Linked DNA regions of Drosophila melanogaster. The protein of the gene in region 2 interacts with the protein of the main gene of each other region in a biochemical or structural test. Each region holds a gene or a part of one and is shown on either strand. Other genes may lie near its edges. The genes, in order: Cdk9 and CycT.

Region 1 (4,418 bases), on a different chromosome or scaffold from region 2:
CGTGGCCATAGAATATCACATGCTGATGGTATCGACTGTTCCAGAGGCTTCGAGGGATCCACATTATTGGTGCCGTAAAGAAACTCAAAGCCGAAGTGCTTGACGTTTCGATGCTTTAGAGATCCCGTGACTTCGGAGGTTCTGCCATCCTCGCCAATGGCCCTCAACAGCGTTGACTCCTCCTCTTCGGTGACAAAGTCAGCAATTATGTGAAGGCCTCTGGGAAGAGGCTTGTTCCACTCACTTTTTCCCGCAAGTGCCGGTAGTTGCCTTATATAGCTAAGGTAGGCTACAGCTCCCTGTTGTCCAATGGTCGATATATTGTGCATTCCCTCATAGATGAGCTGGGAGTCTTCCAAGCTGGCACAAATAAAAAAACAGTACGATTTGCCCGGCAACATGACCACTTGGATGACTTTTCCACCGGTCGCGGCAGCCTCCGTGAGCAAACACTCCTCCGTGAGTCCATTGCTGAGTCCCACGTTGAGAACCGCCAGGTAAGGGGTGGGTTCAGCGCTTGGAGACACCTCGCAGTCACTTTTGATGATTGCCAGACATCTTCGCTGCTTTTTATCCGCCTTTTTGGCCTTGTTTACCTTTTGCTGTGTTTCCTCAACGTGCATCTCGCGGCCAGTGTGTACACCCCTTTTCAATGTTTTTCTTTTTGTTCTAATACTTAAGTCGATTGTGAATACCCTTTCTTGCAACTTCAAGTAATTGTAGAAACTTTGAATAAAGAATAATAAGAAGCAGAGAAACATAATGTAGGTATATTTGGAGCAAGCGCTAATGCAAATGCCAATATTTTTATTGTACACTAACCTAATAACCTAACGCTAGTTGAAGGTGAGAAACTATTAGTCGGGTGCGTACACCTCTGGCAGTCTACCAAACCCGGTCAATCATACTGTTGTCCTGGGGCTTCTGGTTCATGGTGGTCAGTTGCTGGTGATAGTTGCGCATCTGGTTGCTGCGGCGTGGCTGCGCCAGGTACTCGAACATGCTCTGCAGGTGCTGGGACAGCATCTTGCTCAAGTCGCTGGGCATGGGATCCGTCCAGAAGAAGTCGTGATTCAGAGCTGTGTCCGCATCGATGCGTTTCTTGGGATCAAGGGTCAGCAATTTGTCCAATAGATCACAGCCGGTTTGATCCTTGACATACGGACGCAGGCGCTCCTTGACTCGACGCTTCTGGTTCTTTGGCAGCTCGATGGATTTGTACAGCTCCAGCTCCTCCACTCCCGGCCACACGTCCGGCGTAAAGGAGCCGCATAGCTGCGAGATAAAGGTTAGCTGCTGCTGCTCCGTATTGCCTTGCATGATGGGCGAGCGTGTCCACATCTCGGCCATTATGCAGCCGGCTCCCCACATGTCCACGGGTGGACCATAGTTGCGGTCACCAAGTAGCAGCTCAGGCGGCCGGTACCACAAGGTTACTACGCGATTGGTATAGCGATTCTTACTCTCGTTCTTTGGAATGCTAAAAGCACGGGCCAAGCCAAAGTCAGCCAGCTTTAAGATGCCATGCTTGGTAATCAGCACGTTGGCAGCTTTCATGTCTCGGTGCAGGATCTAGTAATGCAAATGAAAACAGATACATACAATGTAAAACCAAAACTTTGCTTAATGACATGACTCACCTTGTTGCTGTGGATGTAATACAAACCGTTTAAAAGCTGCTGCATAACCTTCTTAATCTCGCCCAGACTGAACTTGACGTTCATGTTGGACAGAAGACCTGCCAAATCGTGTTCGCAGAAATCAAAGACCAAATAGAAGGTGGATCTGTAACCATTCGTGGCGGTGGCCTTGGTGCGGCAGATCTCGATCAGATTCACCACGTTCTCGTGCTTTAGCAGCTGCAGGATGCGGATCTCTCGCAGAGCCGTGATGGGAAACTAGGGGAGCACATATATAAATAAGGAATTCGTCTCTTAAGATGTTGCTTTTCACGCACGCCCTCCTTTTCGTTGTCCATCAGCACCTTCTTCATGGCCACAAACTTCTTGTTGCCCTTTTTCTCGCGAGCCTTAAAAACCTCTCTGTAATCAAAGGGGTCGTATGTTTTAGTTTAAAGTTAGTTTTCACCAATTTGGAGACTTACCCGAAGGTGCCTTGGCCAATTTTCGCCACCTTTTCGTATTTGTTGCTCTCGTCGCAGTAGGGAAAGTCGTAGTCCTCGATGTACTTTTGTTTCTCCATCAGGGACATCGTGCGCGATGAGCTGGAGCCCACGTTGGAGGGCGTCGACCCCGAAGGCTGCTGGAGCATGTGGGACATGTGCGCCATGGTTAAATTTGCCTCTATTTGTACAATTTTCACAATCACAGTTTCGCGAGAAGCCGACAGTCGAAAAGAAAGAAATCGGCAACAATTGGTGTTTCTACAGCTGTTGACTAAAGAAATACCGGTGTGCACACACTGTCAAGGCCTATCGATAAGAAATCGATGGGTCAAACAGCTGGGTAGTAATAACTTTTCGATTGTTGGTATACACTGGCCAAGTGATATAACCTAGCCAAAATTTGTCCAACAAATAAAAGCCGAATTAATGAATAAACTGTTGAATATAGCCCAGGCAGGGCATCGGCAGTTTGTCCGGGAATATGCATTCAAGTCGGACCTGAAAATCAAATGGATGCGCCCCGAGAAGATCGCGTGCTATAAGCCCGAAAAGAGCGGCGATTTAGCCAAGCTGCCTCCTCTGAAAGCCGACGAACTGCTGCCGGAATACAGGGACTGCAAGGAGTTGGATAAGTATGTTGCAGTATTCTCTCAATATAATAGTTTATTTACATCATCTCACCATTTTGTAGAGCCGACGAGTCAGTTAAATCCTTGTTCAAACTGAGCAACAACGCTAGTTACCTGACCACAAAATTCTATCGCGATGAGATGGTCAAGGAGGTGCAAAGACATGCCCAGGATTTCGGCTCAATGGAGGCCAAATGTATGTATCTTTGCAAAGTGCACATATAGCAGTTCCCCCCAAATTTGCCCTTCTTTTAGTGGCAAAAATGACTGCAGTTATCCGCCGCTACCAGGAGCACATGGACAAGCATCCGCGCGACAAGATGATCAAGGTGCGTCTCAAGGAGCTCATCGACAAACGCAAGAAGTTCCTCAAGTACTTGAGACGTTGGGATTATCCCCGCTTCGAGTGGATTCTCGAGAAACTCGACCTGGTGTACAAGCCACCGCCCACACATTTCCACTGGATCACCCGCAAGGAATCCCTCCAAAAGTTGACCGACATATACTGCGAAAACCTAAAGGAAGAGCGGCTAGAGGCTTACCATAAGCAGCTGCAGGCCCAGCAAATACCCTTCCTTGAGGAGGCCATCAAGAAGATGCAGTTCGTGCGGCAGGAACAGATTTCCTGCGATGTCCCCGTGACCGTGACAGAAGAGAAGATCGCCGACTCAAAAAGGCAGCTGGAAATGCTGAAGGAGCTGCAGCAGGCGGAGGCAGCCGCCAGCAGCAAGAAACAAAACGAGGATGGCTTCAATTAGGCCCGATTCTTTAATGTTACGGTGTCTTACAATAAATGTAAATGCTGGTTTTCTTAAATTATATGTTTTATTATACTTTAAGAGTTAGGCTGGACATCGTACCCTATGTCATGATCATCTGAGCGCATACTGGCAAATAAATAAGAAGGCAAGCATGATTGCCTTAGAAAAATGTGTAAAAACAGACGCAATTAAAGAGAAGTTCCTAAAGGGTACGGTTGCAGCTAACGTCTGCCCGACGAGGAGGTTTTCCGCCTGCCGCCGCTGCTGGAGCTACTCGAGCTGCTCGACGAAGAGTCGCTGGAGCTGGACGAACTGGACGACGACGAGGAGGACACGGAAGAGGTAGAGTCGCGTGAGGTACGCTTGCGCTCCTTGTCGCCATTGCCAGTGCCCTCTTTGCTCTTGACATCCGTGGAAGTGACTTCTTCGTCGCCCCAGAGATCGTACTTTGATAGATCCTCGTCGTCTCCCTCGTCGTCGTCCTCATCTTCTTCCTCATCATTCCGCTGCTCATCTCGGCTAGACCTTCTGGGCCTCTTTGAGTCCTCTCTATGCTCGCCGTGCTTTCGCTTCTTGCGACGACCGAACTCATCGTACTCGCTATCCGAATCCTGACGATCCTTGTACTCTACCACGCCGCGATCATTGTATCCACCGCCAAAGCCTTTAAAGAAACTGGTTAAGTGGGTTTTGAAGCAGATCAGGCTTCTACGGACTCACCAGTCCGCTCCTCCACATCCGAGAACTTAGGAGCGTTGCACATATTGCAGGTTTGGCGACGGGCCCAGTTCACATTCGCGCATTTGCTGCACTGCCAGTCCTCGGCGCTGAACAAGCCCCGCGACTTGTCGGCCGCCGCCTTGCCGATCTCGGTGCCCAGCTTTTTCTTGCTTGAGCTGCTGC
Region 2 (7,797 bases):
TTACATAAAATTTCATTTCATTCTCATTTTCGCCTCGAATATATAGATCATGCCTAGATTTCTATATGCCTAACTTTTGTTTCTCCTCGTTTAGCCTTCTGTTAGTTTTTCGTTCGTTTAGCTTAGTTTGCTTGCAACGTTTTCGCTTGCATTTACATAATTTTAAAACTTTTTGTTTTCTTGCACAACAACTTTTGTTTTATCCAAAATTTAGTTTTGGGTTTCTTTTTTGTTTGCATATTCCGTTTTTGTTTTGGGACTTTATTATTTGTTTTTGTTTTGGTTTTTTTTTTGTTGTGGTAATTTGTTTTGTAATGCTATTTAAAAAATAAATTAAAACAAATGAAAGCTACGTCAACGTTCCAGGCGATCTTGAAACATAATATCATCCGCTGAAACAATCCGATCTTTTTACTTATCTTCATTGAAAAGTGTAAATACACTACTGTATATATTGCTAGGTGTCGAAAACTATATTGAAACACGGTTAGTAATCGGGCAATCGTTCAGAAAGGAAGGGAAAACTTTGCTAACTAAAAATAAACATCTTCATTCATTTTCGGATTAGCAACTATGTATTAATTAAATAATTCATTATGTGGTTTGGCGTCTTCAATTTTGAATCAAAGCGCTGGCTTTCCATTTACTCTCCTATCCTCTGCCACAACTATATGCTCCTCTGTGGGGATTATTTTGAAGTTCTTACTCTTTCTATCTCTCTGGCTTGCATTTAGTTGGGGCCGTATTTAGTATATTTGCTAAGCGGAAGTCTGTACTATATATCTCTTGATTGTGTGTTTGTGAGAGTGGCTATATACAGGTTAGAGTGTGTGAAACGGGTATTTGATTTGCTAACTTAAACGCTAGACGGCCATTGCTGCTCTCTGTGAATTTTCTGCTTGGGTCTCTGATTCCGTTTGCCAACAATTCGCTTAAAACTATTCCGTATTTTTATGTATGTGGGCTTATATGTATGCTATTTATTATAGTTATAAATTAATTAATGCTGTACAAAAGTTTTCGCGATTTGAGTACTGCTTTTACGTCCAGCCCCATCGCGACATCTACTTCCACTCTTCTTCGATCTGCGCATCCGGTTTCACTTCCAATTTGGAGTTTTATCTATGTGCTTAACTAAAATCAATAATGCATCTCACTAACAATCCTAACAACTATACTACAATCGGACTTACTGAGGTTCTATACATATATCAAAACGTACGACTTAAGAATAACCCTCTGACCGCTACCACTACTTCTTGTTGTAGACGGGCATGGGAGGCGGTGCCAGCCCAGCGGCAGAGGGTGGTACTGCACCGGTGGGCGCCAACAGCATGGATGGTGGTACAGCAGTAGACATGGGGGCGCCCATTCCTCCAGACATATTGGGTGCGGCGCCAGCACCGCCAAGGGGATTAAAGATGCCGCCACCAGCGCCATTGTACTTCGCGTAGTCTTGGCTCTTATTCTTTTTGCTCTCCTTGTCGCGGTCACGATCGCTGTGCTTTTTCTTGCTGCTGCCACCGGAACTGCTGCCGCCCGATGAGCTGTAGCCACCACCGCCGGCACCATAAGGAGGCAGAACAGGAGCAGCTGCTCCGATCGAAGCGGATGTGGTGGTAGCCGTAGTTGGAGGCAAGCCATATCCGATTGCGCCAGGCAGACCCGCCGCTGCAGAGTAGTTATTGGGTTCAACCTTATTTTTGCTGATCTTAAGTTTAATGGGAGCTGACGCACCGGCCTGCAGGCTGCCGTTGGGATTCTTGATAACCATCTTCAGAGGCTCATTGGGAAGAGAACTGTCCTTGCTGCCACCGCTGCCGCTACGATCCTTCTGCTTGTCCTTCTTGTGCTTCTTACGCTCCTCCTTTTCCGTCTTGTCCTTGGACTTGTCCTTCTCCTTGTGTTTGTGTTTATCCTTCTTCTTTTTCTTTTCGGACTTGCTGCTGCTTTCCTCCTTAATCTCTCCGGCCTGTTTAGTGGGTACTTCCAAATCCATGGGTGCGGGCCCACTAGCCAAACTGGTCATCGGAGTTATTCCCTGTTCTTTCTTGATTGTCGCTGGTGCGGGCATGGGCTCAAGCAGTTCGGCCGGTGGTTTCAGGCCAGGCATAGTCAAGGCATCCGGTTTCAGGAGCGAAGCGTTCGATGGACACAGACTCTCCTTTAGCAAACTGCGCACCAGATCCGGCGTTGTCTCGATTCCGTTGGACATATTCAGAGGCGTGTGTTTCTCCTCATAATTCGGATAAGTTGGTAGTCCAGTTGTAGTGTCCAGCTTGCGAAGCTTTTCTCGAGGCATATTACTGTTATCTATTTCATCCAGCTTATTTAGTCCATACTGACTTCCCGAGATCTCGTTGGGCCGTTTTAGGCTTCCACTCTCTCCAGGATTGGTCAACAGGTCCCCGCCATGGGGTATCTGCTTCTTGTGAGGCGGTAGCATCGGCTTTGATGATCCCGAGCCGGAGGAACTGTTCCCACTGCCCACTGGGGGCATGACAGGACGGTGCTTATCCTTTTTGGTTGGCGTTAGTCGCTCTTTCTTGGGACTTTCTTTGTCGCGCGGATGGCTATTTAGCTTGTAATCGTGGCCGGGAGGCGCAGGAGGGGGTAGCAAACCGTTAAAAGGCTGTGGTTGCGACTGCGACATGGGCTCCTTTTTAATGTCTGGCCACTCTGGACTGAAGAGCGAGTTCTTGGACTGCAACGAGTGCTGGGATGCCTCCGGAGGCATCTGTTGCTGCTGAGACTGAGGCACTGGCTGCTGCTGCATGTGGCCGTAGCTCTGGCTCTGGGAATAGGGCAATTGCTGCTCGAAAGGCGGCATGCCATGGACGGTGGAGCCGGATTTGCTGCGATGGCCGCCGTATCCGGCGGGAGGCGGGGGCTGGGATCCATTGCTAGCGCCTGGATATCCACCACGCGACATCAGCGGGTTTTGAGGGGCACTATTACTGTATGGCGGCGGTGCGTTCGGATACATTTTGTTGCTCTGGGATTTATCCTTGGAGGACATGCCCGATGCAGAGGAATTAGAGGCGGATGGATGTGGGACCGGCTGCTGCTGCGGCTGCTGGGGCTTGGAGCCCGAAGTCATCTTGTGGCTGCCGTGAGGTGGCATGCCCACGCCTACCGGCGGCATGCCGCGAGAGGATTTGTGATAGTCCACGGGCATAGACGGTCGGCCAGGCTGCTGGCTTGAAGACGACGAGGATGAGCTGCTGCGCTGGCTGCCACTTCCCGAGGAACCGAGTCCACTGCTACTACTACGCTGGTGACTTGAGGGCATTCGATTGTTATAGCCCGGCTGCTTTGACTTGTGATCTTCAATACGAAGATGTTAAAAATGTGATTCTTTTTGCAGTTGTTGAAATACTTACCCGTATGAGCGTCGGGCGGCATGCCACCAGGGTAATTTGGCATCTTGTGACTGGAGGAAGACGACGAAGAGCTGCTGCCTGGCACTCCGCTCACTGAGGACGAGCGCTGATGGCCACCATCCTGTCGTCTTTGCTGCGGCACCATAGCCGGTGGCGGCAGTAGTGACGACGGATCCCGTTCCCGCTCTCTCTCCCGTTCACGATCTCGGTCCCGATCCCGGCTGTCGTTGCCGTTTAACAGCTCTGGTGGTGTCGTGATGTTTGAGTGGTAGCCCTTCATCATCTCGGTGATCTTCCAGTCCTCCTTTGGTTTGTCCTTGCTGTTAGCTGTCCGATTGCTGGCTCCCTGGGCGATCGCCTTGATCGAGTTAAGCTTAGACTTCAGACGGGCCGGGCTCTTCTCATAGATAGCGATGAACTCATCTGTCAGCTGCTTTAGCAAATCCAGCGAGACCGTCTTGTCCACATAGTAGAACCAGTGTTTGCCCTCGGTCGACTGGGGGATCTCCCATCGGGACCACTTGCAGGCTAGGTAAATGCAGAAACAGGCTACGACCGTGGGGCGATATTGGAGGCACATCGAGGTCAGATGCAGGCTGTGCCAGGATGGTTAAGTCAATTTAGTGGGAAATCTTTTGCAAGAATATCACATATAAATGTAGTTCGGTGAGTGTGTGCAGGGGGATTTCATCACTTATAATACAGATTACGTCTTTAGTTCTTAGCATGTTCTTAGCGAGTCTCTTTTATTTCTTGGGGATCTTAAACTTAAAAGAATTATTCTAAAACGTTTGCCGATATTTCGAAATGCGCAAATTTTCCCAATGAGCTCTCCTCATGTAATCAGAATTTTGACTATGTTTTAGGTAGGCAGGTATGCCAAACTGAATTTATCTTTTTTCCAGATGTTTTAGTATGCCAAAGGATTACAATGGTTATCATTACAATTCTTCAAATATCTTTTTCTAGGAATTAACGACTCTTTCTAGGAATTAGTCTTATTCTTGACATTTGGCGGATTTTCCGACACAAATTACAATGTTATTGCAGGCAACTGAGGATAATTACCGCGAGGGACACGGAAAATACTGCCTTTTTGCTAAGATGCGATATTTGTACAGACGTCCTGCTGCGATTAGGGACCGCGTGTTCTTGTTCGATTTGTGACTTGGGGTCGTCACTTTTTTTTTTTGTTTCGACTCACATACCTGGGTTTGTTAGCTATAAGCGAGGAATTAAGCAGGTAAAAGAACTGCCCAAAGATTTTAGCCACAAAAAGTCAGGGATCGAACTCTCTACAGCCTGACCACTTTCTGGGGAGGATTGGGCCAACACCACACCCGCACACACACACACATTGCTTATACCACAGCCGTATTTGCGTTGGGGGCGATCTCTAGGAGGGATTACACCATAGAGTAGCGCATTGCTAGCCATACCTGTTCGAGGCCAAGAAGTACGATGTCTGCGCCAGATCCTTGCATGCTAAAATATACCACAGTAATCAGTACCATCTGACATGTGAAGGGGACATGGCTTGGGTCGGATGGTGGGTGCATACCTTTGACCAGCTGGCAGGTGCGCACCACATGCGTGTGCGGATGATCGATGGCCACATCGAAGCCCAGCGTCTGCAGGAGCACGTTCTCGTTGAACACAAGCTCCTGGGCGAGTTCGGCGTAATTCTGCTCGGTGGTCGGCGGCAGGCACTTGTTGGCGGCCCGAATAACATGCTCCAGCTTCCGCGGTTGCTCTTCTACCTTGGCGGCCAAGAAGAGGCTCGCCGACGCCATGGAGTTGCGATGAAAGTGGGTGAAGGAGTGAAAGGCGTAGAACCGATGCATGTACACAATGGCCGTGTTGATGCACAGTTGGGACACCTGCAGACGCTGACCCATTTCCTGTATCAGATAGGCGGTCATCTGGCGGTACTGCAGCTCATCGTCGCCCTTGATGCCGCATCTTCTGCTTGGCGAATTGGCCAGCTGATCGTTGCTGAAGTACCAGATCTTGTCCTTCTCGAAAGGCAGGTTGTTGTTGGCGGTGATTGGAATCCCGCTGGCCGAGGCGGCCGCGGAGGCGGATGAAGAAGATGAGGCGGTGGCCGCCTGGGGCATTGGCGTGGCTAGGAGACTCATGGTTGTATGTTTCCTTTATCCGTGCAGCGGAGATGGGGATCTGGGATTTCGGGTTCCGCGTGGTTATGCGGGGACCTCCGTTTCACATGCAAACTGCGCCTCGGAATGGACCTAGTAATTCCCTTTTGGCTGATTCAGCTGTAGGAACTAACTGTACGAAGAGGAAGGGAGAGCGCTCTTTCTTTGTCGGCCGTGCTTGAGTGCGCTGGTATTGGTGTCTGTGTCCGTATCCGTGTGCGTTGCTGCTGTGGCGGGGGTGGCAGCGGTACGGAAGGGGCAGTGGGGATCGCACGGCACATCGGCTAAGCCACACTCGATATTTCGCTGTTTTTGGGAGACTCCAATTTGGGTTTGGAACGAGGGGTTAAATCCGCGGTCCGCACACTTTTTCCGCCGCCGCGTCTCTGCGTGTTTGTTTGTGTGTGTGTGTGCGTGGTGGAGATGGTATGGTGTGGTGAGGTTTTCTGGAAACTGCGACTGCGGCGGAAACGAAACGAGACGAAAAACACACTAACCGCGACACCAGGCGACGTGTTATGCAACTTTCGTATCAATTCATAGTTATTCGCACTGCTTTCGCCGGGCACTTTAACCATTACGGGTCGTTTACTCGACGTTTTTAATTCCACAACACATCACAGATTCCATTCACACAGTGACAATGACAAACTTTGCAGAAAAAAATGTATTTTCAAGTATGGCCGTCGGCAGGGCTGCCAGATCGATAAGGCTTTCCAAACCGATGTTTATTTCGCATTATCGATATTATTTTTAAAATATGGCAACATTGATTCTACTGTTTATGTTATCGATTAATAATCGTAAGGTAGATATTCAAATAAATGTAAATACATTTTTAAGTAACTTACCTTAAACTTTACATTTCGCTAACACATGTAGAAATATCACAATGTCAACATTTTTTCCCTTCTTATTCAATTAAAAAATAACGTATATTCCGGGGGAATCGAATTTGTACTTAATATGTTTGAACAGTCCCATCTTAAATATATCTTATTATATGTATATGGACATATTATATATGTACTTTGAGCACCTTCATTTAATCGCATGACTTTTTTTTATCAAAATATCCAAATGTTGTTATGTATATGTTTATATACCTAGTCGGACAACCAGCACTTCGGTTGAAGCCAATCCTCAAACACCGTTACATCCAGAAAAACTTTATGGGCTGGTGGAATCATTGGTCCGTACTTCTTCAAAGCCGACGATGGCCAGTACGTTACAGTAAATGACGATCGGTATAGGGCTATTGTTACCAACATTTTCATTCCTGAATCGAACAACCATGATGTCCAGGACCTGTGGTTCCAAAAAGAGGACGCAATATGTCACACAGCTCGTGCCACAATCGATTTAATGGTGACCGACTAATCTAACGTTTTGGACCTGTAATTGGCCTCCCAGATTTTGTGACTTCTTTCTGTGGGTGGGGATATGTAGAGTTATTGGTCTATGCGTATAAGCCATAACCGACCGAATCATAAGAAATAATACTAGTAGTAAAAAAGACATTCCGAATTCCTGTACAGCTCAAAATGGCTATACATTTTGAGAGCGATGCTCTACCCATTTGAAATCTGTCATAAAAACACATATGAATTTTTTATTGTTATTTATAAAACAGATAATATATATTTATAGTTTGTAGATTAAAATATACAAAATTTAGCTAAAAACCTTAAAACTCTTATGTCGTCATAACAGTAAATAATTATGCTAGCTTGTGACTGTTACTTGCTTCGTTTTTCTTAATGCATTCTTATAAAAATTAATCTAATCCGTTCGCTTGCGCTTGCCTCTAACCATAAAATTCACCTACATACCATGACTTCGATCCAACGTTCGTTTCCTTACTACATAAGCATTAAAGTATATATATATATATTATATATATTGTGGCTGGCTTTAGCTGATTTCTCATCGCAGACATTTTTAAAATGTGTCTGTCAAATGTACAAAGATTGAACAAAAAGTGAAATAAACAGTCTAAAAACTTAACTTAGGTTAGTAAGTCAAAAACTAATCGTATCTAATGTTAATGCATTCAACATATTCGTCTAAATCTAGGCCAATCCATATCTCTACTATTCTCAGGCGGCATAGAATACCTTTGAATAATCGCACGTTTCCATTTAAAAGCTATATAGTTCGTTTCGTTTTTGAGTTACCAATAGAAAGATATCTTGTCTTAGCCTTAGCCTAGCATAGAAATCTTGCCCAACGGCATCGATATTCTATTGCATATAATT

What was found.
Region 1: the proteins of CycT (region 2) and Cdk9 form a complex in vitro, tested with the Drosophila melanogaster proteins (one study listed by BioGRID).

Annotation. Positions count from the first base shown.
Region 1 is NT_033778.4:22,635,302-22,639,719, forward strand, and holds Cdk9 (Cyclin-dependent kinase 9), read right to left. Parts: upstream 2,427-4,418; 5' UTR 2,290-2,426; coding exon 2,105-2,289; intron 2,043-2,104; coding exon 1,958-2,042; intron 1,899-1,957; coding exon 1,641-1,898; intron 1,573-1,640; coding exon 886-1,572; 3' UTR 762-885; downstream 1-761. Other genes in the region: CG17807 (uncharacterized protein), read right to left, coding at 1-623; bonsai, read left to right, coding at 2,552-2,757, 2,817-2,950, 3,010-3,512; CG3732 (uncharacterized protein), read right to left, coding at 3,737-4,179, 4,236-4,418.
Region 2 is NT_037436.4:17,551,552-17,559,348, forward strand, and holds the start of CycT (cyclin T), read right to left. Parts: upstream 6,238-7,797; 5' UTR 5,522-6,237; coding exon 4,945-5,521; intron 4,869-4,944; coding exon 4,823-4,868; exon of another isoform or gene 4,592-4,822; intron 4,281-4,591; exon of another isoform or gene 3,980-4,280; coding exon 3,384-3,979; intron 3,328-3,383; coding exon 1,253-3,327; 3' UTR 1-1,252. UniProt on the Drosophila melanogaster protein: Regulatory subunit of the cyclin-dependent kinase pair (CDK9/cyclin T) complex, also called positive transcription elongation factor B (P-TEFb), which is proposed to facilitate the transition from abortive to production elongation by phosphorylating the CTD (carboxy-terminal domain) of the large subunit of RNA polymerase II (RNAP II).